Oryctolagus cuniculus: one gene and its partners. The protein of the gene in region 6 purifies or fractionates together with the protein of the main gene of each other region. This does not show direct contact. Links are inferred from orthologs where the notes say so. Each region holds a gene or a part of one and is shown on either strand. Other genes may lie near its edges.

Evidence for each region.
Region 1: the proteins of ESR2 (region 6) and PSMD1 purify together in Homo sapiens (affinity purification with mass spectrometry; 3 studies listed by BioGRID and IntAct, with this or other methods). This does not show direct contact. The link is inferred for Oryctolagus cuniculus from reciprocal best matches to the Homo sapiens genes ESR2 and PSMD1.
Region 2: the proteins of ESR2 (region 6) and MRPS9 purify together in Homo sapiens (affinity purification with mass spectrometry; 3 studies listed by BioGRID and IntAct, with this or other methods). This does not show direct contact. The link is inferred for Oryctolagus cuniculus from reciprocal best matches to the Homo sapiens genes ESR2 and MRPS9.
Region 3: the proteins of ESR2 (region 6) and SURF6 purify together in Homo sapiens (affinity purification with mass spectrometry; 3 studies listed by BioGRID and IntAct, with this or other methods). This does not show direct contact. The link is inferred for Oryctolagus cuniculus from reciprocal best matches to the Homo sapiens genes ESR2 and SURF6.
Region 4: the proteins of ESR2 (region 6) and PRMT5 purify together in Homo sapiens (affinity purification with mass spectrometry; 3 studies listed by BioGRID and IntAct, with this or other methods). This does not show direct contact. The link is inferred for Oryctolagus cuniculus from reciprocal best matches to the Homo sapiens genes ESR2 and PRMT5.
Region 5: the proteins of ESR2 (region 6) and NUP205 purify together in Homo sapiens (affinity purification with mass spectrometry; 3 studies listed by BioGRID and IntAct, with this or other methods). This does not show direct contact. The link is inferred for Oryctolagus cuniculus from reciprocal best matches to the Homo sapiens genes ESR2 and NUP205.
Region 7: the proteins of ESR2 (region 6) and SRSF5 purify together in Homo sapiens (affinity purification with mass spectrometry; 3 studies listed by BioGRID and IntAct, with this or other methods). This does not show direct contact. The link is inferred for Oryctolagus cuniculus from reciprocal best matches to the Homo sapiens genes ESR2 and SRSF5.

Annotation. Positions count from the first base shown.
Region 1 is NC_091434.1:8,119,332-8,122,831, forward strand, and holds part of PSMD1 (26S proteasome non-ATPase regulatory subunit 1), read right to left. Parts: intron 3,043-3,500; coding exon 2,964-3,042; intron 1,538-2,963; coding exon 1,364-1,537; intron 1-1,363.
Region 2 is NC_091433.1:103,559,594-103,563,878, forward strand, and holds the start of MRPS9 (small ribosomal subunit protein uS9m), read right to left. Parts: upstream 2,801-4,285; 5' UTR 2,714-2,800; coding exon 2,579-2,713; intron 1-2,578.
Region 3 is NC_091432.1:235,363,650-235,366,830, forward strand, and holds the end of SURF6 (surfeit locus protein 6), read right to left. Parts: coding exon 2,932-3,181; coding exon of another isoform or gene 2,908-2,931; exon of another isoform or gene 2,863-2,907; coding exon 2,839-2,862; 3' UTR 501-2,838; downstream 1-500. UniProt on the Homo sapiens protein: Binds to both DNA and RNA in vitro, with a stronger binding capacity for RNA. May represent a nucleolar constitutive protein involved in ribosomal biosynthesis or assembly.
Region 4 is NC_091443.1:52,081,992-52,086,149, forward strand, and holds the start of PRMT5 (protein arginine N-methyltransferase 5), read left to right. Parts: upstream 1-1,358; 5' UTR 1,359-1,567; coding exon 1,568-1,677; intron 1,678-1,703; coding exon of another isoform or gene 1,704-1,762; intron 1,763-2,312; coding exon 2,313-2,431; intron 2,432-2,744; coding exon 2,745-2,830; intron 2,831-2,998; coding exon 2,999-3,133; intron 3,134-3,769; coding exon 3,770-3,882; intron 3,883-4,023; coding exon 4,024-4,073; intron 4,074-4,158. UniProt on the Homo sapiens protein: Arginine methyltransferase that can both catalyze the formation of omega-N monomethylarginine (MMA) and symmetrical dimethylarginine (sDMA), with a preference for the formation of MMA.
Region 5 is NC_091434.1:171,397,587-171,401,086, reverse strand, and holds part of NUP205 (nuclear pore complex protein Nup205), read right to left. Parts: intron 2,744-3,500; coding exon 2,593-2,743; intron 902-2,592; coding exon 696-901; intron 1-695. UniProt on the Homo sapiens protein: Plays a role in the nuclear pore complex (NPC) assembly and/or maintenance. May anchor NUP62 and other nucleoporins, but not NUP153 and TPR, to the NPC.
Region 6 is NC_091451.1:6,167,694-6,171,984, reverse strand, and holds the start of ESR2 (estrogen receptor beta), read right to left. Parts: upstream 2,801-4,291; 5' UTR 2,769-2,800; coding exon 2,350-2,768; intron 1-2,349.
Region 7 is NC_091451.1:15,600,881-15,604,932, reverse strand, and holds the start of SRSF5 (serine/arginine-rich splicing factor 5), read right to left. Parts: upstream 2,801-4,052; 5' UTR 2,517-2,800; intron 1,802-2,516; 5' UTR 1,783-1,801; coding exon 1,657-1,782; intron 1,383-1,656; coding exon 1,312-1,382; intron 1,196-1,311; coding exon 1,097-1,195; intron 810-1,096; coding exon 740-809; intron 1-739. UniProt on the Homo sapiens protein: Plays a role in constitutive splicing and can modulate the selection of alternative splice sites.

The DNA of each region.
Region 1 (3,500 bases), on a different chromosome or scaffold from region 6:
TCTGGGAAGTAAACCAGCAGATGAAAGATCTCCCTCTCTCTCTTTCCCTCTATTTAACTCTTTATTTTGTCTTAAAAGATTTATTTATTTTATTTGAAAGGCAGAGTTAGAGAGGGAGAGGGAGTGAAAGAGAAATCTATCCGCGGGTTCATTCCCCAGACAGCCTCTACATCCGGAGCAGGGCTAGACCTAAGCCAGGAGCCAGGAGCTTCTGCTGGGTATCCCACACAGGTGCAGGAGCCCAAGCACTCAGGCCATCTTCTGCTGCTTTTCCCAGGCACATTAGCAGGGAGCTGCTGAGAATCCAACTGGCACCCATGTAGGATGCTGGTGCTACAGGCTGCTACAGGCAGCAGCTTAACTTGCTACAGCACAGCACCAGCCCCTTTAACTCTTGATTTTCAAATAAATAAATTTTAAGAGAGAAATAAAATGTTTACCTAAGACCAGAGGAAATAAAAGATGTGCGTCCATACACACATGATTAATGAGAGGTAGATTAGCCGAGACAGACCATCCTACTGGCTTCCATCTTTTCACTAAAATATGAGGATAAGGTTTTCTAGTTCACTTAATTGCTCACCTGATAAGTCTTCTAAAAGAGTTTACTCAAACATGGAAATTAAAGTCTAACATCCTATTTAAGGTTCCCTAAAGTTAAGGACAAGGTTGCTTAATAAGCTTTTCCAAAAGACTTATATTTAAAAAAAAAAAAAAAAAAAAAAAAAAGGAAAGAAAGAAAATTAAGCTGCTATTTAAGGCACTTGCATTCCACAAATCAAACCTGGGTTTGATTCCCAGGCAGGAATCCTGATTCCGGTTTCCTACCAATGCAGACTGGGGGCAGCAGCTATGACAGCTCAAGGAACTCGGTTCCTGCTATCTATGTGGAAGATCTAGATTGTATTCCAGCTCCTATCTCAGGCCCTGGGCCAAACCTGCCCATCTGAGGCACCTGAGGAATAAATTAGAGGATGGGAACTCATTCTCTGCTTCTCAGTAAGTAAAAATTTCAGGAAAAAAATTCAAAAAACAAAAATTTTTATTTCTAAGAGAGTATGTGTAATTTTGAGGGCTAGTTTCCAGTACAATGATAGGGTTGGACTACATAACCAAAGTCACACAGTTATAACATTCCAAGATGTCTATTTTACATGGGGTTTAAAGGACCAAGAATCACAATTTTAGCTTATAGAGAAGGAAATAAAATTATCTTAAAAAACACAACAGCTTTAAGAGAATAGTACTGTTTTGTATATTCCAAAGTCCTACAAAATCTCTATTCATTAAAATACTTTGGTAAATGTCATATTTTCTTGGACTTTTAAGTAATGGAAATTTAGTTTTCTATTTCAATACTTACATCATTGCTGGCATTCTTAAGCTGATTAAGCAGATAGTCAATTATATCACCACCATGATTGGCATGAATGAGACCCAATGCATAGAGACCTCCACCTTCCTGATAGGCTGATCCAGGAGAAGTGTCCTTGGGAAGGTATGTCGCCATTAACTGTAACGCTTCCTTTTCATGACCCTGTAAATTTGAGCCACAAAGATAACAGTATGGAGAAGGGAGAAAAAAGACGTCACAATTTTTATGATTACTGCCTTTCTTCGTAAGTTCACTTGTCTTTTAAAGAGGTGCTAGTGGGGCTCTCTCCCATACAACTTAATCATTCAAGTGAGAGAAAGGCTTTTAGAGAACATGAACATGCTGATTAGAAAAACTATTGAGGGCTGGCCGGCGCCGCGGCTCACTAGGCTAATTCTCTGCCTTGCGGCGCCGGCACACTGGGTTCTAGTCCCGGTCGGGGCACTGGATTCTGTCCCGGTTGCCCCTCTTCCAGGCCAGCTCTCTGCTGCGGCAAGGGAGTGCAGTGGAGGATGGCCCAAGTACTTGGGCCCTGCACCCCATGGGAGACCAGGAGAAGCACCTGGCTCCTGCCATCGGATCAGCGCGGTGCGCCGGCCGCAGCCTGCCAGCCATGGCGGCCACTGGAGGGTGAACCAACGGCAAAGGAAGACCTTTCTCTCTGTCTCTCTCTCTCTCACTGTCCACTCTGCCTGTCAAAACATAAATAAATAAATAAATAAATAAATAAACAAACAAACTATGAGGGCACCAATGTTGTGGTATAGCAGGTAAAGCCACTGCCTGTGATGCAGGCACCCTACATGGGCACCAGTTCATGTCCTGACTGTCCCACTTCAGATCCAGCTCCTTGCTAATGGCCTGAGAAAGCAGCAGAAGATGACCCAACTGTTTGGGCCCCTACTCTCAAGAGAGACCCAGATGAAGCTCCTGGCTTCAGCCTGGCTCAGCCATGGCCACTGTAGCTCTCTGGGGGGTAAGCCAGGCAATGGAAGCTCACTCTCTCTCTGTAAAACTTTGACTTTCAAATAAATAAATAAAATCTTAAAAAAACAAAACAAAACAAAAAGACTATGAACATGCGGTGGAATGAGAAGGCCATGCCAAGATGGCTGCTGGCAAGTAAGCGTCAGTTACTCAGGAATGGCTTTGAATCCCACCTGACAACAGAGCCTGACTGACAGCAGGCCGTGATTGGATGGTTTCAGAAACTGCCTGGCAACAGGCTGTGATTGGATGGCTTTGTTTAGGGCATAGACCGCCCCTTGACCAGATTGGCTGCCTTGGCTATATAAGCAGCTGTAGCAACTGAAATAAACGAGTCTGGGCTGCTCCCCTCTGGCCCACTTTCACCCGACTCCCAGGGTCTGTGTGGTGACTCCGCGCCTCTTGCCCCCACCACGCTCCTCCTCTCAGAAACGAATCAACCTCAACACACTTTGAACATGCTTTTTTTTTCCCTTTACTTTGTAACATTTTCCTGAATTCATCTTAGACCATGAAAACAACATTTAAATTCATCTTCTGCAAAATGGCTTAGACAGTCTTCTGTTTCTAACGCTGCTTTCCACTGATCAGGATGAATTACCTTATGAATTACACCCAAACTGGCTGTGGCAGTAAATTTTGCCCAGTTAGTGGCTCTGGCCAACCACTCCAAGTTATCTCTGTAAGAAAAAATACTTAATGATACTATTAAAACAGAAAAATTACATAAAACTTTTAAACATGAAAATTTAAAAACAAAACAGGGGCTGTTGTTGTGGTGTAGTGGGAAAAGCTGCTGCCTGCAATGCTGGCATCCCACATAAGTGCTGGTTTGAGTCCTGGCTGCTCCACTTCTGATCCAGTCCCTGCTACTGGCCTGGGAAAAGCAGGGGAAGATGGCCTAAGTGCTTGGGCCCCTTCCCCCATGTGGCAGACTGGGAAGAAGATCCTGGCTCATGGTTTCCTTGCAGCCACTTGGGGAGTGAGCCAGTGGACGGAAGACCTCTTTCTGTTTCTCCCTCTCTCTGTAACTCTGACTTTAAATAAATTAATCTTTAAAAAAAAACAAAATCCCCAAAATATTACCTTTAACCATTTCAAATAATTTTACTTTGTGGATCAAGTTACTGTAAAACCC
Region 2 (4,285 bases), on a different chromosome or scaffold from region 6:
CTGGGGAATGAACCAGCGAATAGAAGATCTCGCTCTGTCTCTGCAATTCTTTAAATTAAATAAATCTTTTTTAAAAATTTAACAAGAAGAAATCATTCTTTATCCATCTTATTGCAGTAATAACAAATAAAACCTAATGTAGTAGAAAGGAGGAAATCATCATACATCAATGATGAAAGATGAACTGCTTTAGTCTTTTCAAAAAACTATATGGAAATTTCTATTAAAATTCAGGATATATGCATCTTGGCAGCAGTAACTTCCCAAGTGGAAATCTCTCCCACAGAAATAAAAGCATCAGCTCCTAAGAACTGGACCAGGATGTTTACTGCAACACTCTTCATGGAAAGAAATCTACATGGAGCAAATGCCCATCACCTGTTATATTAATTGTGATATATTCATGCCACAAAATATTGGGCAATTTAAAAATGCTTTAGACACACATTAAGTGACTTGGAAGTATTTCTACGATATATGTAAGCTGGAAGAGCAAAAAGTAGAATGCAATCCAATATATTCCATTTTTTTAAAATTGATTGATCTGAGAGGCAGAGAGACAAAGCAAGAAGTTAGGGCCAGAGAGAGAGGGTGCATATTTCTATCTGTTGGTTCACTCCCCAAATGCTCACAATGGTCAGGAATGGGCTGGGCCCCGAACCAGCAGCCCAGGAATTCAATTTAGGACTCTCACATGGGTGGCAGGAACCCAATTGCTGGAGCCATCACAGCTTTGTATCAAGGTCTGCATCAGCATATGTTCATGTAGGTTTGCATATAATGATAAAAACATGCAGAAAGGCAATGAAGGTTAGCTATGTACGCTTGAAGTTCAGGGGAGGGAAAATTAGCCTCCTCTACCTCTGCATGAATTGTCAACAATAAAAATATTCTGCATTCTACAGGCCCTTTCATATAATTATATGTACATAGAAAAGATATACTCAAAAAGATGCACAATTTTAAGAAGAAAAGACAAGAAAAAAGCTGGGACAGCCTTGTGGCACAGCAGGTTAAGATGCCAGTGCAAGGCAGCACCCCAAATCTGAATGCAGGTTCTAGTCCCAGTTACTCTGCTTTCAATACAGCTCCCTGCTAATGTGCCTACGAAAGCAACACAAGATGGCCCAAGTACCTGGACCCCTGCCAGCCACATGGGAGACCTGGATGGGGTTCCAGGCTCCTGGCTTCTGCTGGGCCTAGGTTTAACTGTTGTAGCCATTTGTGGAGTCAACCAGTAGATGGAAGATCTGTCTCTCTTTCTGTCCATCTGCCTTTCATGTAAATGAAATAAGAAATTCCAGCACATTTTCCAGCAAACAAACCCAAATGTTTGACAGATAAAAGAATGGATGGATTGGTTGATTTAAGTTAAAACCTAAAAAAAAAAAAGCACACTGAAAAAGATGGTATTCTGGGGGGAGGCATTTGACCAAGCAGTAGGGACACCTGCACCCCACACAGGCGCACCTCGGCCCAAGTCCTGCATCTCCTCCAGAATCCAGTTTCTGCTGTGTTCACCATGGGAGGCAGCAGGCACTGGCTCAAAGCGCTGGGCCCCTGCTACCTATGTGGGATACTTGTCAGTTCCTGCCCACAGGCTTTTGTCCCAGCTGGGGTCACTGCAGACATTTAGAGAATGAGCTGGGGGACGGAGCCCTTTCTGTCTCTTTACAACTCAAATTTAAAGGAAAAAAAAGATTCAGTATAGTTTTTAGAACACAGTAGCTTACTTCTATGCAATAGCTGGTACTGGTTATCACTCTCCATCCAGGAAACACTGTCCTGTTCTCCATGACAAATATGTGGTTCTCCCCTGTCCTGCGCAGCTTATTCTCAATCTCTTGGGGCCTGACCTTTGACCTGTTTGTCCATCAAAGCTCTACTCCTCTGCCTACTCCTCACTCAGTGCCCTCTCCCAAACTGGTCCAATCCATTTCCAAGGACTCACCAACCACCTACAAGGTAACAGAGGACTTCCAAGTCAATTATCTTCCTGTCGATTTACTGGTCTACTGGGAATCTCCAATTGGAGATCCCACAGATGCCTTGAACGCAATTATACCCCCAAATGAAACTCACTGTCTTGCTTCTCAAATTTCTTCCTCCTCCTGAGATCCCATGTCCGTTAACTGGCGAGGGAGCGTCTTGGCTGGCCACTGCCCTCAGGATTAAGGGGAGTGTACCAACTGTGGTCTCTCAGAGGAAATTAAAACAGAAAACGCCCAGATGCAAAGGCATTTTTTTAACAGCATTCTCTGCAATCCCCGTTCCGCTCTAGTGTTCGGGTCCCGGGCACGCCCGAAGGACCGGACCCAACAGCCCACTTTCGGCACTGACCCCTTAGCCCCGCAGCCCCAGTCGAGTCAGGGGTCGCTCCGCCTCGCCTGCAGGTAACTTGCTCTCATGACACTCCGCAAGAACCAGAAGCAAATCTCAGAGCGGCAGCTGCAAGCCAGCACCCACCTCCGCACCCCCAACCTCAAGCCTCCAGGGTCCCGACCAGAAGCACGCCAGGCGCCGGCTTCACCTCCCCACGGTACCGGGACCACCGCTCCCAGTTCTCCCAACGCCTTACCTGGGATCCAGCACCTCTCTGAAACTCAGCGGCCGCAGTTTTCCAGAAGCCTTGCCTGGGGGCGAGGGTAACCCTACTCCCGATAAAGAGGCGGTAGCACAGCGCGCCGCAGCAGGACACACAGGGAGCCGCCATGTTGGTCGTGGGAAACCCGGGCGTCAGGGGCGAGGGGCGGGGCCTGGGGGCTGCGCATGCGCCAATGCGCGCCGCGGTCCCGAGCCTCTCAGAGGAAGAAGTTGTGGGGCCTTTAAAGCACAAGGGGTGTTTCCTACGGGCCGAGGCTGCTCGTCGGTGATTGGACGCGTGGGATCCGCGGGGCGTGTCCGACACCGTCCCCGGCCCGCGCGCTCCGCAGCGGGAGGGGTCCTGGGTCATTTATTTCGGCCTCTTTCTGTCTGTTCACTCCCAGACCCTAATCTTGCTGCAAATCGCCGTGGTGGCTCGTTGACGCACCCTTCCCGCCCGTGCGCCTCGCTGCACCTGGAAGCGGCTTTGGCCGCACCGAGACCTGCAGTGGAGGGGCGCCGGGGGGCTAGGGCAGTCGGCAGCACCTGCCTCGTTCCTGTTCGGAATTCGCGGTTCTCCAACCTCCGCGCTCCCTTCCGCTGGAAGGTGCCCCGCGGCCCTGGGTGCCTGCTTGCCTGCTTTCCCCGCAAGGCTTTCCCCCCACCCCGCTCCAACTTCCCGCAGGTGCAGGGCCGCCTCCGACACCTGCCCGGCCACACTGGGGTCTCGGCGCACGCGTTTCCACGCTGAATGATTGCAGGCCTGCGGGCGCGTCGCCTTCCCTCCAGCGTTACCACCAAGCCTTACTTACTGGCAGCCCTAGCCGAACGGAGTGGCGGTTGAATGGAGGTGCGCATACCTGTGCCCCTCTGACACGGCTCCTCGAAATCCGTATTAAACGGCAGAGTCAGCCTCCCTCAAAAGGGTTTCCAGGCGCTTCCATTTGCCCACACACAGAAAACCTGGGGTCACACAAAGTTGCCAAGCAAATACATGGCGGCCACTATCAACAGCATTTAAACGAACAAGCAAAAAACGGTTTCACAGTAGGAAGGTACAAATGGCATAATTTCACAATACAGAGTAGTTCCCTAAATGGACTGCCTTTAGTCATAAGGGAAGCTCACCCCGTTCTTGCTGTTGTTACCCTTTGGACAAATGAAAATTTCATCGGAAATTGGCAGAGATCCATGAGCTAGCATTTGGGAAACAAGAATTCAAGTTCTTAAAATAAATGCCTTTAAACCGTAGTTCCTACACATCGTAAAAAAAATTTTTTTTAATTAGGGGATCTTCATAAGTAAAAATCTAAGTAGAAAATAAGTATAAGGAAGCAAAATTTATACAATTATATGTTAGCACTATATATCAACTAAGTAGTGAAATTAGGGTTAGGAGCTCAGATTTTTTTCTTTCTTTTCTGAAATTCGTATTTCAAGTTCATCTGAAAGGTTTAAAAAAATTCCTTACATCCATGTTACAGTGTTAGTCTTTCACTAGAATACAGTATGTTTCCCACCTCTAGAGGCAACACTTGCACCACAGCACTGAATTTCCTATATAACCTTTGAGTTCGGGAGCAAAGACACTGTTGTATGTTAATATTGGGTATATAATTTGCAGACAGAAAGATTGGAATATGCTAATAAACATTTAAGTCTGAAAAACATGTGCCTTGCCGAATGGCTAAAGCTTGCATTC
Region 3 (3,181 bases), on a different chromosome or scaffold from region 6:
TCTCCGTGCAGCCCAACAGCACAGCCACCAGCGCGACCAAGGACTTCACACATGGCTAACAACCCGAGTACTTGCTTAATTAAAATTAATCACGGGGCCAGTGCTGTGGCATCACCAGCTAAAGCCGCTGCCTTCAGTGCCGGCATCCCATATGGTCACTGGTTCAAGACCCGGCTGCTCCACTTCCCATCCAGCTCCCTGCTGTGGCCTGGGAAAGCAGTAGAAGATGGCCCAAGTCCTTGGGCCCCTGCACACTCATGGGAGACCCACAAGAAGCTCCTGGCTTCCAACTGGGGTCGGCTCAGCTCCAGCCGTTGCAGCCATCTGGGGGAATGAACAGTGGATGGAAGACTCTCTCTCTCTCTGCCGCTCCTCTCTCTGTGTAACTCTGCCTTTCAAATAAATAAATAAATAAATGGTTTAAAAAAAACCCTTAAATCACCATTCACAGCCCCTGGTTTTATGCCGCTGGCATTCACTTGGATTCAAAACAGCTCCTCTGTCTTTGCTTTTTTTAATATTTATTTACATGAAAGGCAGTTACAAAGCTTTCACTCCTGGTTCACTCCTCAAACGGCAGTCAAGGCCGGGGCTGACAGGCAAAGCCAGGAGTCTGTGACCGCATCTGGGTCTCCCCTGGCACCGCTGTCCCCAGGCCTGACGGATGGGAGCTGGGTCGCAAGTGGAGCGGCTGGGATGTGAACCGTGCTCCCGTGGGATGCGGCTTCACGCGCTGTCACAGTGCTGGCCACGCCGACTACTTTTTAAAACCTGCTGTTCCTCCTCGAAGTTCACCTTCAACAGCATGAAGTCCAACCCTCAGCGAGCACAATTCCATGGCACTGAGACCTGCCGACAGGACACCGAATCTGGGCTTCGTCTTGGTTTTCCAGGTTTGCTTGTGAAGTGTGGCTGTCTGTCTTCCTCTGAGTCCCTGCCCTGGCCGACTCAGCCTGGGCCAGCGCTGTGGCCAAGCGGCCAAAGCCACCATGTGCGACACCAGCGTCCCACATGGGCAGCGGTTCAAGTCCTGGCTGTTCCACTTCTGACCCACCTTCCTGCTAATGCACCTGGGAAAGCAGCCAGGACATGGCCCCGGTGTGTGGGCCCCGCACCCACGTGGGAGACAGGGGAGGAGCTCCTGGCTCCAGCCGCTGGGCCATCTGGTGGAAGCGCTGCCTCTAGCACTCTGCTCCCTCCAGAACGCACAGACAGAAGGCGCGCGGGCTTCCTGGGGGCATAGCTGGGAACATGGGTGCTGTGGGGAGCAAACCGGACTAGACTGAGTTACTGGGATTAAGACTTATTCTATGCATCTGCTCCCCCACAACATGGCGCTGGGAGAGAAGTAAACAGCTTCCGCACAGCTGCCTCCAGTTCAACTAATAAACTGTAGGACTTGCTCCTGATTGGAGGAGAGCAGCGTACTCGGCGTGTGGGCAGCCGAGTTAGGATTGGCGGAGGAGGACTATAAAGGAGGAGAGAGACGGCATGCACGAGGAACATCTAAGGGGACCATCTAGCTGAAGGAACACCTGTGCAGCCCCCGAGAAGAGCCGGCCGGCGGTGTGCCGCTCCCCTGCGGAAGTGGGGAATGTGGCCAGGGGGAACTGCCCTTCCACGGAGGTGGAAGGGATAGTAGCCAACCCGGGAAGAACCAGCAGCAAACCCGGGGAGGGCCGAGCAGACGAAAGAACAGCGCAGGGTCCTGTGTCGTTCCTCCACGAAGAGGGGGAGCGACAGGTGCAGGGAGGGCCCAACGACCCCCACCCACTGAGCGGGGGAGGGGTCCTGCCCGGGGCAGAAACGCTGTCCTCGTGCCCCTCGCTGGGCCTGTGCTGGCGGAGGCCACTCAAGACCACGGCCTCGGCTCAACGGCAACAGACTCAAGAGAACGCCCAAGGAGAGGCGGACGGACCCCTCCACCTCCTGCGGCTGAGCCCAGAGCCGCAGAATCAGCTCACTTTTTAAAGAAAAAAAAATGTACTTATTTATTTTGAAAGTCAGAGTTACAGAGCTCTTCCCCCTGCAGGCCCACCCCCAGACGGCCACAACCACTGGTCAGAGCCAGGAGCCCCAGCTGGGCCTCCACGGATGCCGTGAGGGCCCAGAAATCTGAGGCATTTTCCGCTTTTCCAGGCCATTAGCAGGGAGCTGGACTGGAAACGGAACGGCCAAGATTCAAACAGGCACCCACACGGGACGCCGGCACCAAGGCGGCGGCTTCCCTGCTGCCACACCGGCCCCAGCCTGGTCGTCACACAGCGCACAGTGCAGCCGCACGAGGGGGAACAGGGTCAGAGACACCCGGCACCACCCGCCTGCCCGCGGCACTCACCACGGGGGTGGGGAGAGGCGCCGCTCAGGGCGCGGGGCTTCCCCCCCAGACACTGAGACACCAGCTGCCCCGCCCCTCACTCCAGAGGGCAGGGGAGGCCCGCACAGCGTCTCCGCCTCCGGCCAGTGCCCTGCCCAGGGTGGCCAAGGGGCCACCTCCTCCTGCAGCGTCCGTGTGCGATGCTGCCCCAGGGCGACTGAGCCCCAAAGACCAAGATGGAAACAGCGGGCAGGGGCCGGGTGTCTGGGCCCAGGACAGCCTCGCCCAGACTCCGGCCTCCCCCGAGCTCCACCAGCCACTCTCACTTCTCACTTCGGCTTCTCATTGGTCCTGAGCATGTTTCTGGCTCAAAGGGCAGTCCGAAGACACCCGCACCTGTCCCGTGGCCCGGTGACCGCGGTAGGGGAGGGCGGCAGTGACGTGGCCTTCCTCCTCACCCTGCAAGCGTCTGGGGCGCTCTCCGCTCTCAGGGGAGACGGCCGGGGCCCAGCACAGGCCGCTCAGGCCAGGCCGGCCCGCGCCAGGTCCTGGGGGGCCCAGCTCGCCCCTCCCCCAGCCGCACAGGCCGCTCAGGCCAGGCCGGCCCGCGCCAGGTCCTGGGGCAGCACGCGGCCCTTCTTGCGGGCCCTCTGCAGGCGCCGCTCGGCCCTGGCCGCCTTCTTCTGGCGCAGGTTCTGCCGGCGCTTGTCCTGCCGCTGCTGCATCTGCTGCACCACGCGGGCCGAGCGCTTCTCCCAGCGGCGCTGGCGCTGGGCCCGCCGCTTCTCCTTGCGCTGCAGGGCCGCCCGCAGCAGGCCCTCGTCGTCCCGGATCCTCACGCCCTCCGCCTTGTACAGCAGGTTG
Region 4 (4,158 bases), on a different chromosome or scaffold from region 6:
GAGGAGCATTGTATAGTCTATCTGGCCAATACCATCAAACTATCAAGATCATCAGAGACAAGAAACAGCTGAGAAACTGCTACAGCCAAGAGGAATCTAGAGAGATGTGACAATTAAATGTAATATGGGATCCAGAAGTACACAAAAAGTCTGGTAATAATAACAATAATAATAGAAGACACAGCATCTCCAACCCCTTCAGGCTTCATGGTGCATTTTCTTGGCGCTTTGCTTTTCTGACTCTCATCCGTTGGGGGCACTTAAGTCGCACCCAGGACTCGTGGGGCTCATCCCCTCCTGCTCCCTTTCCGGGTTTCCCAGGCCTCTGATCCGCACCGGCTACGGTCAGCTCATCACTCTCAGGGCTTCGTTAGCTACCGTTCTTCCGGCGGGCTCCAGATCCTATTCGGTTCAGACCACGGTTCACCCAGCTCTGTTACACAGCGCCCCCTAGACATCCACTTCAGCACGTCCAGACCCAAACCCCGATTCTCTACGAACCGCAAGGACTGACAGAACCCTGGGCTATCACCCGCCTAACAAGCGGACCCCAAATTCTGTTAACGCCCCCTGCGTAGGGTTCTCGTGCTGCGATCACCTCTCCAGCCCTCAGTGCTGAACCTGTGGGCTCCCTGCCTTCAGGGGTCTCCATTTCCCTCTCTCCGTCTTTCCTTGCTTCATTCCTTTCTTTTTTCCCGTCTCTCTCCTGTAAAGGGAAAATGCATTTCCATGATTCCCGTCCACTGCAATCTCTCACTAAGAATTGGTTTTCTCTACCTCGAGGGGCTGTGAGTGTGCGCTTAGGTGTTGATTTACACCTTTTTGTGTTTGAGACACAAGCACTATTAAACACTGTCAGTTATCACAATCTATTTAAAAAGGTTAACATAGTAAGGGGACAAATCTTGTTTAAACAGAACCCCAGCCATTAACCCAGTTTAGTTGGGTCTAAGCAATGACACAAGGAACACATTTGAAAGAGGTGACGGAAAAGGTTAAGTAAAGATGGCTGTAGGACCCAAGTAACTTGGGACCTGAAAAGTGAGAGGGTGGAAAGAAGTAAAGCTTTCAACAGTGAAGGAAGGAAAACGGAAACCACAATTTCTGGGGAAGGTGATGCAATAAAGGAGTACCAGTCCCAACGAGCCAGCCAGGAGTCGAACCTGGAATCTTCTGATCCGTAGTCAGACGCGTTATCCATTGCGCCACTGGCCCTGAGACAATCGCGCTGGGCTCTGTAATGATTCTTCAAGCTTACAATGCAGGGTTTCATGGGACGTGTAGTCCCTCGGCGGCATTCGGCGGCTGCACAAAGCATTCTGGGAGATTCGGGTTCGTCACGAACCAGACCCTGAGATTGGTAGATCTGCAGGAGCCACGCCGTACGTCACGGTGCAGCCCGCGGATTGGCGGGAAGAGTCACTCTCCACCCCTCCGTCTCTTGCTCCGGAGCTGTGGAGGACGCTCTGGTTGTTAAGGCGACTCGTCCCGCCTTCTCGGGGCCTGGTTCAGCGTGTGATTGGTTGCTAATATCAAGGAATCCCGGCGTGGAGAGCGCGAGGGAAAGATGGCGGCGATGGCGGTCGGGGCTGCCGGTGGGAGCCGCGTGTCCAGCGGGAGGGACCTCAATTGCGTCCCCGAAATAGCTGACACACTGGGGGCTGTGGCCAAGCAGGGGTGAGGGCCAGACCTTCGCGGGCGGAATGCAGGGTCCGAACTCGAGGACGGAAAAGGGCAGGCTAGTCATCCCCGAGAGGCAGGGGTGAAGGGGCCGGATGGGACGAGGGCGTGAGAAACCCCATTACTCCTGAGAGGAGCAGCTTCGGCCCGGCGGGTGGAAAGTTAGGGGAGTCGTGTGGCCTCTTAGTCCAGAAGTCGGGGGAGTTGTCGGGGATACAAAAAGGGGGCATACAGCCAATCCCCTAGGGCTCCGGGGGTAAAATGAGTATGCGGGAGTAGGGGGAAGTGTTGGGGGCAAAGGCGAGAGGAGGTTCATGTGCAGGGAGGGTAGGTGTAGGTAGCCCTGGGGCAGCTCTGAACATCACAGTCCTGGAAAGCCAGTGACCCCAGAGTAGAGAGAATGCTACTTGGCGTGGATTTCCGTCGTTTTCCCTTACTCATCTTTTCCCTGCCTGTGTTTTGGGGGAGAAATTGAGGCACGGTGCAGGGAAGTGGTATGTCCCAGGATGGGCTGCAACCAGGAGCCAGCGCGGTGACTGGTGGCATCTGAAAGGGCTGTGCGCAGTTGAGGTAGCCTAAGTGCAGTGCTTGGCTCTCTTTACATGATGATTCTGGGTCTGTCGCGGTTGTAGGTTTGATTTCCTCTGCATGCCTGTCTTCCACCCGCGGTTCAAGAGGGAGTTCACTCAGGAACCTGCTAAGAATCGGCCGGGCCCCCAGACACGATCAGACCTACTGCTGTCAGGAAGGGGTAGGGACCATCCCATATGCCCCTTAATTGTTAGCAGCAGTAACAACCTCTGCTTTATCAGAGCCCTCGTTCTCCTCCTTTTCTGACTTGGATATATTGGATAGCCCCTGGGATCTAGGGAATTCTCGTTTTCTCCTTGCTTATTTGCTAAAAGCCTTAGTTGCCTATTCTGCATCAGACTATCCCATGTCTGTGGTGGAAAATGCCTTTGTCTCTCATCTCTATTTTCTGTTCCCTACCAAGAACTAGAAATTGAACCAGTACAGTACTGAACCTCATTCAGTTTTTGTCTTTCCCGGGTGGGGGAGTGCAGACTGGAATACGCTAATTGTGGGAAAGCTCTCTCCATGGATCCGTCCAGACTCGAGAGTGGAGAAGATCCGCAGGAACTCGGAGGCGGTAAGACAGTGTTTGACCTCTCCTGGAGCGTTCTAAAGATGACCTCTGTACCCGAGCTGGGTGGGAGAGCGTTTTTCCCTTCCATCAGTTACAAAATCAACTAACAGAATGCAATGAAAGCTATTTGGAGGTTAGCTCTTAACATTTTCCTCCCGTTCTCCATTCCAGGCCATGTTACAGGAGCTGAATTTTGGGGCGTATCTGGGTCTTCCGGCTTTCCTGCTGCCCCTTAATCAGGAAGATAACACAAACCTGGCCAGAGTTTTGACCAACCACATCCACACTGGCCACCACTCCTCCATGGTATGGTCGAGGGTCTCTTTTTCCCACTGCATATCATGGTAGTCAGGCTCTGTGCGGGAGCTTCTTGGGCCTGCCAGTCAGTGAAGCGGGAATTTGGCAGAATGGAAATTATTGCTCACTCCCCTGCTAACAGACAGTTTCACAATATCTCATTATTTCTTGAAACTTTACAATTGAAACACAAGGCAGATTTTTTTTTTAAGGGAGGTAGAGTTACAGAGAGAAATATCTTCCATCTGCTGGTTCACTCTCCAAATGGCCGCAGCTAGGCTGATCCAAAGCCAAGAGCCAGGAGCTTCTTCCAGGTCTCTCAAGCACTCGGGCCCTCTTCTACTGCTTTCCCAGGCCATAGCAGAGAGCTGGGTCGGAAGAGGAATGGCTGGGACTAGAATCTGTGCCCATATGGAATGCCAGCACCTTAGACAGAGGCTTAGCCAGCTACAGCACATTGTTGGCCCCACAAGGCAGATATTTGCTTAAGGATATATACAGGATACATGTACAAAATCACAAATTGGGAAAACCATCTAAAGGGGTTAATTTGAGATCTGGATCAAGGTCTTTTTAATTGTGAGATGGTTATTGGACCCAATGAGTTCAAGAGCGAGTTCTAAAAGGGCACCTGTTGATGTGCAGTTCTGGATGCGTGTGCCCTTGGTGGCACCGGAGGACCTGAGAGATGATATAATTGAGAATGCACCAGCTCCACACTCAGAGGAGTACAGTGGGGAGGAGAAGACGTGGATGTGGTATGTCTCCTTTTGCTACTACTCCAGAGCAAGGGGCAGGGTGAAGGGAAGTACGGGTAGAGCCTGTCGGGAAGTCTCCTTGAGCTGTGGTGATTGGTGGGCCACACATATGTGTGTTTTTCTGTATCCAACTCTGGGCAGGTGGCACAACTTCCGAACTTTGTGTGACTATAGCAAGAGGATTGCAGTAGGTGAGTCTACAAGGGTCCTGGGATAAGTGTCCTTCCTGTGGCGTCTGTGCACAGCACTCAGCAGTTTTGTCCATAGTGAGCAAGC
Region 5 (3,500 bases), on a different chromosome or scaffold from region 6:
ACATTATAAAGTACATATTATACTATACTATAATGTACAAATGAATAACTACTCTGTCGTTTCTACTTTTTAGTATCGGGCCCTTTTAATTCAATGAGAAATGACTACTAAACACTATTAAGCATCATTAGAAAAATTAATAAGTGAGAAGACACTATGCTTATCCTTCAGAGAGAATGCAAAGTTAAGCAATATAAGTTTGTTTTAGCAAACAATAAAAATAAATATGAGATTTCTGAGTTGGAAAATTATGGAATCAAAATAATGTTTTTTTACAAAGGTAATTTGATAGAAGTAACCAAAATGGTTAGGTGTGAGAGAAGAAATTAATTTCAGTACATAACTTTTTAATTAAAACTTTTCTTTATATAAATATTCATACACCCATCCCACACGTATATGCTCACAACCAAGCTAGCAAACTTTCTGGAAGAAGGTGCATGCAATAACTAATTCTTATTTGCCCTTTTTTTCCGTCAGGCTCAGGTTATTACTTTCATCCTAATATTAGGCCAGTAAGTAAAGCTATAATAATTTATTCCCTTTAGAGGGCAAATAAACAAAAAACTTAAAGACAGAATGCTAATGATATGCTAATTGTATCACTTATAAACTTTAAGCAGTAAAAGATGTTGGCCCTTTACCATGCCACTGAGCTAGAATACAGAGAGTGCTGCCATGGAGGGGCTACCTACCCAAGTAATGATGGTGGACGTGAGCTGTAAGAAAGCGATCAACCCGTCTTGCTCCTTCTGGGTGATGCCACGAGAAGGCAGGTGGCGGTACTGGACGCTATCCGCACTCGGGAGGTCCTTCCGGAGGTGCTCATGGTAAAGCATTAAGGAGTGAAAGAAATGCTCCCAAGAAACAGGGCTGCCACCTGCACCCTGAATATTTTCAACTGTAAAGAAAAGCACAGAATTCTCTCAAGAATCCCTACACATATGCTTGGAAATGAGGATTTATATAAAAGTATAAATTTTGTTTATCTGTGTCTTAGCATCAAGGCAATCTTTGTACTACATAGGCTAGAATTCCTCTGTAACTTAGAACTTGAATTTCTGCTCAGAGCTAAGAATAGGGACACATATATGTAAAGGTAAACTGCCTGACAAGCCCATTACCTGCTTCATATTCAGGGGAGTTCTCTGTAACTAAACAGGGCTATTTTTCCACAGGATAATTCACAAATGATGAGCTTGAATTCCCCCCCAAAAAAGAGGTAACTACAGCCTAGGTTTGTGAATTCTACTACTCCACTACATACCAAGCTGGGAGCAAAACCATAGCACATAAGCCAGGCCTTGACAGAGTGTCAGCACACTGACTTTGGAGTCAAAGACAGCTCAGTTCCACTTGCGGCTCTTTAAATACCTGTGCCCTAGAATAATTACTTAACTTCTCTAATCCTCCACTTCTTCACATGTAAAAATGAAAATAATATCCACCTAACAAAGCAGGTATGGTTCTTCTTTTGCAGCATTTTTGGCTTAACCAGACTTAAAAGTCTGAAAAGCAAATGAGGAAAAATTGGTCAAGAAAAGACTCTTAAATACTAACAAAAAAAGAAAAAGACAATAAACACCTAAAAGTTAAAGAAATCAAAGATAGGTCACAAGTACACATACTTTGTACACTAGATTTATTATTGAAAATGTATATACCCGTTGAGCATCCTTTACTCAAGATGCTTAAGACCAGACATACTTCAGATTTTGGATTTATTTTTAAAATTCTGGAATATCTGTACATATACAATGAGATAACTGAGGAATAGGGCCCAATCTAAACACAACATCCAATGATATTTCATATACACCTTATATACATGGCCTGAAAGAACCTCACAAAAAATCACCAATATTCTTTAAAAGGTAATTGGGGTACTGAACTCAAGAGTGAAGAACAGGGGCCGGCGCTGTGGCATAGAGGGTAAAGCTGCCGCTATCCCACATGGATGCCGGTTCGAGTCCCGGCTATTCCACTACCACTCCAGCTCTCTGCTATGGCCTGGGAAAGCAGTGGAAGATGGCCCAAGTGCTTGGGCCCCTGTACTCCTGTGGGAGACCCAGAAGAATCTCCTGGCTTTGGATCAGCATAGCTCTGGCTGTGCAGCCATGTGGGGAGTGAACCAGCGGATGGAAGACTTCTCTCTCTCTCTCTCTCTGCCTCTCTGTAACTTTGCTTTGGAAATAAATAAATCAATCTTAAAAAACAAAACCGACTGAACAGAGTGTGGTATACCACACAAAGCCATCCCCAGCAGCACACCCCCTGCAGCCTCCCGTACCAGAGTGCTGGTTCAAGTTCCAGCTGTTCACTCTTCTGGTTCAGTTTCCCACTAACCTATCTGTGAAGGCAGAGGATGATGGCCCAAGTGCTTGGGTTCTTGCCACTCATGTGAGAGATCAGGATGGAATCCCCAGATCCTGGTTTCAACCTGACCCAGAGCTAGCGCTATGGACATTTGGTGAGTGAACCAGAGATTAAAAGATCTCTTTCTCTGTCACTCTGCCTTTCAAATAAGTATTTTTAAAATGAGAGGAAAAAAAAAAAGACTGGAAAATCAAACAACATGTAGCTCTTCCTTACCATGGCTACTACCATTGACTTTGAGTAGGCTGAAACAGTAGTGGGCACACTGAGGCCCGCTGGCCAATCCTCGCAGCATTTTCAAATAAGGGATATAAATAGTTGGAGGCAACAAGTCACCCATTTGCCTAACAAACTTAGACAAAACAACCTGAAATAGAAAAAAAACAAAGAGATTATATGTAAAGTGTTTCTTGAGTTTAAGGCAACATGAGCCAATTAACAAGGACTACATGTAAACCAAAACTATACATATATACTTTTTTTTTTTTTGGACAGGCAGAGTTAGACAGTGAGAGAGAGTGAGAGAGTGAGAGAGAGAGAGAGAGAGAGAGAGAAAAGTCTTCCTTCCGTTGGTTCACCCCCAAATGGTTGCTATGGCCAGCGTGTTGCGCCAATCCAAAGGCAGGAGAAGCCAGGTGCTTCCTCCTGGTCTCCCATGGGGTGCAGGGCCCAAGCACTTGGGCCATCCTCCACTGCACTCCCTGGCCACAGCAGAGAGCTGGCCTGGAAGAGGGGCAACCGGGACAGAATCCGGCGCCCCAACCGGGACTAGAACCCGGGGTTCCGGCGCCACAGGTGGAGGATTAGCCTAGTGGGTCAAGGCACCGGCCAAACCAAAACTATATTAAGTACTCAGATTTAACCCTCACAAATGATAAAAGTAAATGTTAATCTATAGATTCATATGCATTTTGTCATCCATTACAACTTCTAAGCCTCTCTAGCACCTGTATCTCTCCCATCTTCTCAACGTGGTAGGAAGTATATACACTGGTTATTACCATGCAAATGCAGTACAGGCTAAAATACTGCTAAAACATTAATGAGCAAGTGTGGGGAGCAACTCGGACTAGACTAAGTTACTGGAATTAAGACTTATTCTATGCATCTGCTCTCCCACAATA
Region 6 (4,291 bases):
TGGACTCCAAGTCACATGGAGACGAATACTATACTCTGGTTAAAGAGAGGGAGGTGGGGAGAGGGCAGAAAGGAGAAGAGAGGGGAGGAAGCGGGCAGCTGCCTGGCCAGGGAAAGCTCAGGTGGGTGAAGCAGAGGCCGGGCCCTGGCCCCACGGCGGAACCGGCCCAGCAGGGAAGCACAGGCAGCACCAGACCCAAGCCCGGCCACTTCCTCGTTTTGCTAGGGCATATTTCGTTTGGAAAGTATGATAAAGGGTTGACCGTTTGATCAATGAAGGTAATTTTCATTTGGTTTAGCTTGTCCAAATATCAGAACTTTGATCAGAATTCATGCTCAAAACAACATACTTCTGCCTTTAAAGGCTGAATGAAAAGCACTGCTTTTATTTTTTATTTTTTTAAAGTACTGCTTTTAAAAAGTTTCCCGTGGGGCCGGCCTTGTGGTGCAGCGTGTAAAACCACCTACAAGGCCAGCACCTCATGCAAATGCCGTCTGTGTCCCAGCTGCACCACCTCCAGCTCCCTGCTATTGGGCTGGGAAAAGCACTGGAAGATGACCCAAGTGTTTGGGCCCTGCCGCCCATCTGGGAGACCGGATGAAGCTCCTGGCTTTCACCTGGCTCAGCCCTGGCCACTGTGGTCATTTGGGGAGTGAACCACCAGATGGAAGCTCTCTCTATATATATATCCCTCCCTCCCTCCCTCCCTCCCTCCCTCCCTTACACTCCGCCCTTCAAATAAGAAAAGAAAGTAATGAACTTTCATATCCAACATGTTCTCATTTAACTTTCACTGTTTTAGAATTTCATCTCCCTCTTCTCTTCCCCTCATTAATGTCTTCCCTTCAGAGGTACAACGATCATTGAAAATGCCCATTAGACTGAGGCCAGCGCTCTGGCTGTAGGCCAAGTTTCCACCTGCCCATATGGGCACAAGTTCTAGTTCCAGCTGCTCCTCTTCCTGTCCAGCTCTCTGCTGTGGCCTGGGAAAGCAGCAGAAGATGGCCCAAGTCCTTGGGCCCTGCACCTGCGTGGGAGACCCAGAGGAAGCTCCTGGCTTCAGACTTGCCCAGTACCAGCTGGCTGTTGCGGCCATTTGGGGAGTGAACCAGAGATGGAAGACCATTCTCTCTGTCTCTCCCTCCCTCTCTCTGTAATTCTACCTCTCAAATAAATAAATCTTTAAAAAAAAAAAAAAAGAAAGTATTATTAGACTGAAATAATCCATCTTACCTTGCATTTAAAGAGTACAAATATTCTTTTCCACTTCAGGAAATTTCAAATGATGTCTATATTAAATGGTTTCCCACCAACTTTATAATGGGCTGGGCGTCTGGCCTAGCAATTCGGATGCCTGCACCCACATGGATGTGCCTGGGCCCTTCACTCCAGCTCTCTGCCGATGTGCACTCTGGGAGGCAGCAGTGATGCCCCAGCAGGTGGGACACTGCCACCTACAGGGCGGACCATGATGGAGCTGCCAGTTCCCGGCTTCAGTCTGGCCTGGTTCCTGCCACTGTGAGCATTTGAGCAGATACAGGGATGCTGCCTATCCCTCCTTCTCTTTCTCTGCCTCTCAAAAAATTTTAAGCTGTACCAATTGCCTGTCTTTACAGGTTTCAGGCGGCTAGTATTCCTTTAAGTTGTAGTACTGCCACACTTATTTTTATCCTGGGAACAATTTTTCATGAACACTATATTGTGATTTCACTATGAGTCTAACCTAAAACTAAAAAATTTGGTATTCAAACTTAGGAAAAAAGGAAGATAATTTTTATAATATAAATACAGCAGCATTCAAAATAGTGAGCTGTGCCTGCAACACTCACCTACAAGTACAATTTTTCAATGAGGACTGGAATATTAGAAGAGAACATGGGGCCAGCGCTGTGGCATAGTGGGTAAAGCTGCTGCTCGTAGAGCCAGCATCCCATATGGATACGGGTTCAAGTCCTGGCTTCAGATTGGCCCAGCTCTGGCCATTGCAGCCAACTGGGGAGTAAACCACTGGGTAAGAGACTCTCTCTCTCTCTCTCTCTGCCTCTGCCTCTCTGTAACTCTACCTTTCAAATAAATAAGTCAATCTTAAAAAAAAAATAAAAGGAAGACTAAAACAGTGCATCACGTTTCAGGTGCTCCAAGTAATGAATGACTTATTACGAGAGTTGCTCAAAAAGTTCAGGGGACAATGGAATTAAAATGTGAACTCCAGCGCCACACACACACTCCACGAACTTTCTGAAGGGTCCTCATAAATGAAGACACTGGGAACGCACGTCCGTCTTCTCGGTAACCGGGAGGGGAGCCGAGCCCCCACGGAATACGGCTCAGAACGAAGGCCGGCCTCACCTGTTCACAGGCGAGGGGTGCTCCAGCGGTCGCACTTCACACCACGAAGGCTTCTGAGGTTCTGGGTACAGAAGTGACGACTGACAACGGATGGCTAAAGGAGACAGGTGGCCAGGAGTCGGCCACAGCACATCTGGACTTGTGGGCTGTCGCCCCGGCCCACGGTCCGCCTCACTGGCGCCGCTGGGGACGCTGTAATTCATCATGGCAGGGCTGTAGAAGGTCATGGTGGGGTACTCGTGGTGGTCCTCTACGTAGGAGGAAGGGACGTAGAGGGGGCCGTGCTCCAGGGGTAAGACAGACTGACTGCAGTTGTAGGAGGCAGGAGAGTGAAGGCTGGATGGTGAGTTTTTGATATCCATGTCTTGACTAGGTAGCAGCTGTATAAACTCCTTGCAACACGAGGCACGGAGGGACATTACAACATCCTCAAAGGCTCATGGGTGGGGAAAATAGCTGGAAAGAGAAGCAAAAGACATTGCTAAGTTACACCTGCAGTTGCAACAGCTGAAAAGTGTTAAAACTTTTTTATTTTAAAAATATTCACATCTAAATAGGATTACAAATACATCCTGAAAGATGTGTATGAAAATATTAACTCAGAGGGGTGGGAATAAGCGGTGTGCACTACTCATCTTCTAGTGTATTTCTTGGTTGGTTTTGTTGTTATTGTTAACCACAGGAAATTTTTCATGATGGGAACTTATCCTACAGGAGTATTTAAAAAAGCAGAAGATTAGTAGTGGATGTTTGGCTTGGCGGTTAAGCCATCAGTTAGGACACCGCCCTCCCATATCAGAGTGCCTGGGTTCAAGTCTCAGCTCCACTCCCATTTCCAGCTTCCTGCTGATACACCCTGGGAGGTGGCAGATGATAGCTCAAGTAGTTGGGTCTGTGCCACCCTCATGGGAGAGTTGAACTGAGTTCCTGGCTCCGTGCCTGGCTCACATCTAGCAGTTGCCACAAAGTGTTTTTTCTAGGATTAGACAAATTTATTTGAAAACTCTTATTGGAAGAGAAGATCAATTTGTAACAGTGCAAGAATTAACAGATATTCAAATACACTATGAATCTCCAATAATAAAAAATACTGAATAACAGCACATGGAAAGACCGACCAATGCAACTGTGTCACTTATCATTCTACTGTCTTTCAATTTTAAATGCATCCTTCAATGTACGGTCTATGGTAAACCATGGAATTCCTTCAAGGAAGGAAAAGTGCGTGCAATACTGAGCCTTTTCAGTAGAGGGCGCTAGAGGCACACTGCGAGACTTGCTGTAATTCCTAAACCCTGGGAAGGATGTGAGACCAGCCCAGCCACAGGTCCAGAATAAGGTTCCTCTGTGACCTTCCCACTCGGTGTACTGATAACCTTCCCCAGTCACATGTTCAAGCTGTAGCCCAAAGGGTAGCCCACCACAAAATAATGAGTGAAGCGAGACTTGCCACCCTCTAGGGTCTGTGTGTCACTGGGCTCCCAGTGCACACCCATGCCACTCGCTGCGGACTGCCAGCTGCCCACTTGCATTTGGAAGGGGCAACTCCAGAGCAGCCCGGCTTATCCCAGCCAGCATCACCGCTAGCTAGTGGCTGAACCTCACTTTCCCTATTGAGGTCTGAACCCCTCCAAGTTTGTCCTTCCTTGGGTACTCTTCCTCAGTCCCAAATATCAGAGTTCTTCATATCTTACACTTAATCTCCTATTATAATTAGTAATTCTTTATGTTAAACTTCCCCTGTTGGAGGTATTATGTAGTGTCTACCTCCTTTGGACCCTGACTGCCAAAGGAACACAGCAGAAATCCAGAAACAGAAAAAGCCAAGCAAAAGACGAGTCAGCCGAGATGGTGGAGTAGCGAGGTAGCTTCCTGCTCTAGTCCAGGAAAGACAGCTTTAAAGGGGAGAGAGTGCAGTTTCTGGGAAGAGTCAGGGAGAAAA
Region 7 (4,052 bases), about 9.4 Mb from region 6:
TAGGCCCGACTGGCTCTTCGCCACCCACTTGAAGGATACTACCCAATCGCTGGAAGCCTTTAATCGCACAGCCCCTCCCTATCAGCGGACTACTGGCGATGCAGACATGTTCTACTCTTGAGCAGTTACCAAGGACCACTGCACTGCGATCAGGACGCCAACGAACACCTAATTGCGTATCTTTCAACTCTTTTCGACCAGGACCTCTTATTCGGAAGCGTTACAGGAAGACAGCTTTCAACTTAGGGATCAGATCACGTTATCAACGCTCTGGGATCGCTGCAACCTGGCACTTCAAGGAAGTGCACCGATTACGTCTAGACCGGCAAACACAGATCTAGAGGTGGCCAATTGATCACTGTAGGAGCTGACTGGCAAAGTCAACCAGGCCCAACCAAGAGTGACCAAGACAACGATTAGGATAACCCACAGGCACTCCTCGTCATAAGGCCAACGACACAGATAGGCTGGCAAATAAAGGGTTTAATATTTGGTTAAAATTGATTTTTCAAAACAAGAAAAATATCCTCAAAACATTTACATTTGATTAGTTAATAATAAAATATCCCCCAATTACAATTAATTAATTTAACTTTACAATTACAATTCCATTAAAATAAATTAATTAAAGATAAAATTACTTTTAATTTTAAAACATTAATAAAACATTAGCTACCCATTAATATTTCTTTTAAAAAAATCCACATCAAAATAACGCAAAAACCGTATTTCAACAAACCTGCCAGCTGACTCTTGAGGATAAATTCTCAACTATAAGTCGATTTTCTGTTCTTACAGGTGGAGCATTTCTGAGGAAGAAAATGAGTATTCACAATGGAAGCAATGCAGTGCCGAGCGCACTTCTAGTGTTCAACCCTGGACAAGCTCAAACACTCAGCCGTGACAAGTCACCAGGTGACTTCCATCAACACTTTCTGTGTTATTCTGTGACTCATTACAGACTCACCAGGACCAGTGAGCTAACACAGGAACACACCAGACTCAAGTCCCAGCATCATTTACTGTTAATGGTTCCTCAGGCTTAAACCAAGTCCCGGTAGCCAGAATCAGCAGCAGTCCTCCGCCCATCACATACCGTCTATCATTTCGAGGTCTGCGACTACTAAATCGGTCAGAATATCGTCCTCTACCTCTTCCACCTCGAGACCGAGCCCGAGCGTGTTCAATAGTTACCCTACAGAAACAAGAACGAGCCCGCGTTATACACTCAAGCTGTACGGGAGCGAGCCCTGTTTAAGATAACATCCCGGCCGCCTTGGTCTGCTCCATTTTGCACTAAGAACCTCTCACCTTTCACTGCAAAGTTCTTTTCCATCAAGTTCATATACGGCATCATCTGCATCCCTGGGATCCTCGAATTCCTACAATAAAGTGTAAGACGCTTAGCGCGGCTGCATGTGTGGACACAACATACAAACACTAAAAGCAGGGCAGGGGAGGGGAGGCAGAGCATCAAGACATGACCACGCAGATAAACCTCATCAAGAGGGTGACTCGGCTGGGGATCCCAGTCAGCCAGCGGGTTCTTTAAGACAATTCGCTAACTTTTATGCTGCAGACACAATATTCTACCTGGACACGGTACTGCTCACCCAAAGCTTTACCCACTCAACAACCCTTGTTCTGAATACTCACCACGAAACCAAAACCCCTTTTCAGATCAATATCCCTTATCCGTCCGTAGCCCTTGAAGAACCTCTCCACGTCTTTCTCCCTGGCCGCCGGATTTAGCCTCCCGATGAACACTCGACAGCCGCTCATGGTGTCCGGCTAGCGCTTCCTGCCAGAGAATCAATCAATCGAGACAATACCAATGAAGGGCGCAGAGGAATGCCGGAAGAAGCCACCGAACGCATCACACGTAGCTTAAAACTTTTACCCGGCAGGGTGACAACACGGCCGCCTCCCAACGCGACCCCCCGGCTCTCCCCCTACCCCCGGGGCCCCGGACCGCAGCAACCGCAACGCCCACTGCCACCTCTCGCACTGCGCAGCCGCGCCGCCGCGCGACGCCCCGGCCCCCTCCCTTCTGCCGCAGTTAGGAAAGGCCGAGAACCGCAGGCGGAGCCGACCCCGCCCTCCGCGAGACCAGCCCAATGGCAGAGGCCCGGCGCGTCACAGGGGGCGGGAACCTGCGTCTCGCGAGACCGCGGCCGCGCCTGCGCACACAACGAAGGGCGGGCACTCGGCGGCCCCAAGATGGCGGCCGCGGAGTCAGCGCCGGGCAGAGTAGCGCGAGCCAAATTCTCCCTCTCCCTCCCCGGTGCCACCATTCCGGACTCATTCTGCCCGCCCGCAGGTGGCCCCCGCGCCACACCCTGAGCAAAAGTCAGAGCCGCCTAGGCCCACGACTCGGGGCGGCTGGATAACGAAGCCGCAAGAGTGGCAGGGAGGGGCGCGCAACCCCTGTGTACAAACGACCGCAAACATGACCACCCCTCCACCTTCACTACCCCTCAAGCAACACCAAAAGGGAGACGTGCCCCAGCGCCCACCTCGAGTCAACTGCGTTCATTAGACGCCGTCCTCCGCAAAGAGAGCAGCCCCGACCACTCGCGACCTGAGGGGCCATGGAGAAGCCTCGATCCGAGAAGCCTTGCCCTCAAAGTGAGCCACTCACCTACCGGACAGGATCTTTGGCAGCTGAGACCCAGAGAGGTCCGTAGTCTGCGACGGAGTCGTCAACCTCCCTGCAGACCAGAACTTAACTCGTCTACGCCTCTCGACAACTGACGCACTTAGTAGCGCTGGCGTTCCACAAAATGGAGGGCGCGTCCCTACGTCACTTCCGGGACCGCCCATGGGGCTGTGGTGCACACCCTGTTGGGTCCAGCGCCGGAAGCTTCCGCAGGGCAAGGGTCTTCCTACCGCGACCCCTAGAGCGACCCTCAGACTGCGGTGGGTGGGGTCGGGGGCGGAACGGCAGGTGCTTCGGAGCGGTAGCCGTTGGAGACGTTTGCTTCTCCTGAGGCGTGGAGTTCGGATCATTTACATCGTTCCCATAAAAGTCTCTTAAAGCAAATTGGACCCTTTTCTGTATCCGGAATTTTCCTCGGGTACCCAGAAGATTACGAGTGATTGAAACTCGGGCTCTGTAAAAAGACCTGGCTGCCCTGACTCCGTGCTGCGCGCTTCATGTGGTTTCACTCAAGGCCAGGGCGCTCCTTGATGCTCAAGTCAATCGCCATGGACATATGGTAGTGAGAAGACCTAAGGAACAGAATAATTTTTTTTAATGGAAGGTTTTTTGAGTCATGAAATCTTAAAATGGAGACTATAGCGTGAAGGCCCTCTTGAATTGAAACCGGAATATGGTTTTCTGCCTTGCCACCACTCTGCAACTGAGCTGGCTTGAAGAGGTTTCCAGCTGCCTTAAGTCCAAATGGGATTTGGTTAATCCGCCCTGTTCAGGTTTCTGTAATGAAACACATGAAAGCCTACAATTCTTCAGCGACACAATTTGTGTTGTGCTGTTAAAGTGGGTGTGCAACAGGGCAAATACGTGGGTATTTGAACTCCAGTGTTTTCTCAATAAGGTTGCCAGGCCTAGAATCTTAGGTGTAAAGAGAACTCTTCTTTAATGCTTTTAGGTGGAAACCAAGGCACTCCATTTCTGAGCAGGCCCAGCATCTAGCGTTACATGCTTGGAACTAGAATTACACAGACAGAAAATAGTTCAAGCAGAAGAGCAGCTAGCCTTACCCGTGACCTCTGGAATGGGGCCCTCAGGAAGTCTGGATGAGAGCATGGAGAGTTTGTATGGGGCCAGCTCTTCCATTCACACAGTTTTAAATGCAAATAGCCCCAGTGGGGGCAAACAGTGTTATGAAGTTACCTATGGTGTGGGGAATTAGGATGGATTTTAAAGATGGTAAGTATTTGTTGAAACTTTATCTTTCCCTGTTGGCTCAATACACTCATTGGCATTTTAAAGTGTATCTCTTGCCCATGGGGCTGGTGTTGCTCCACAGTAAGTTAAGCCAATGCCTGTGATGTCCGCATCCCGTATGATCACCAGTTCTAGTCCTAGC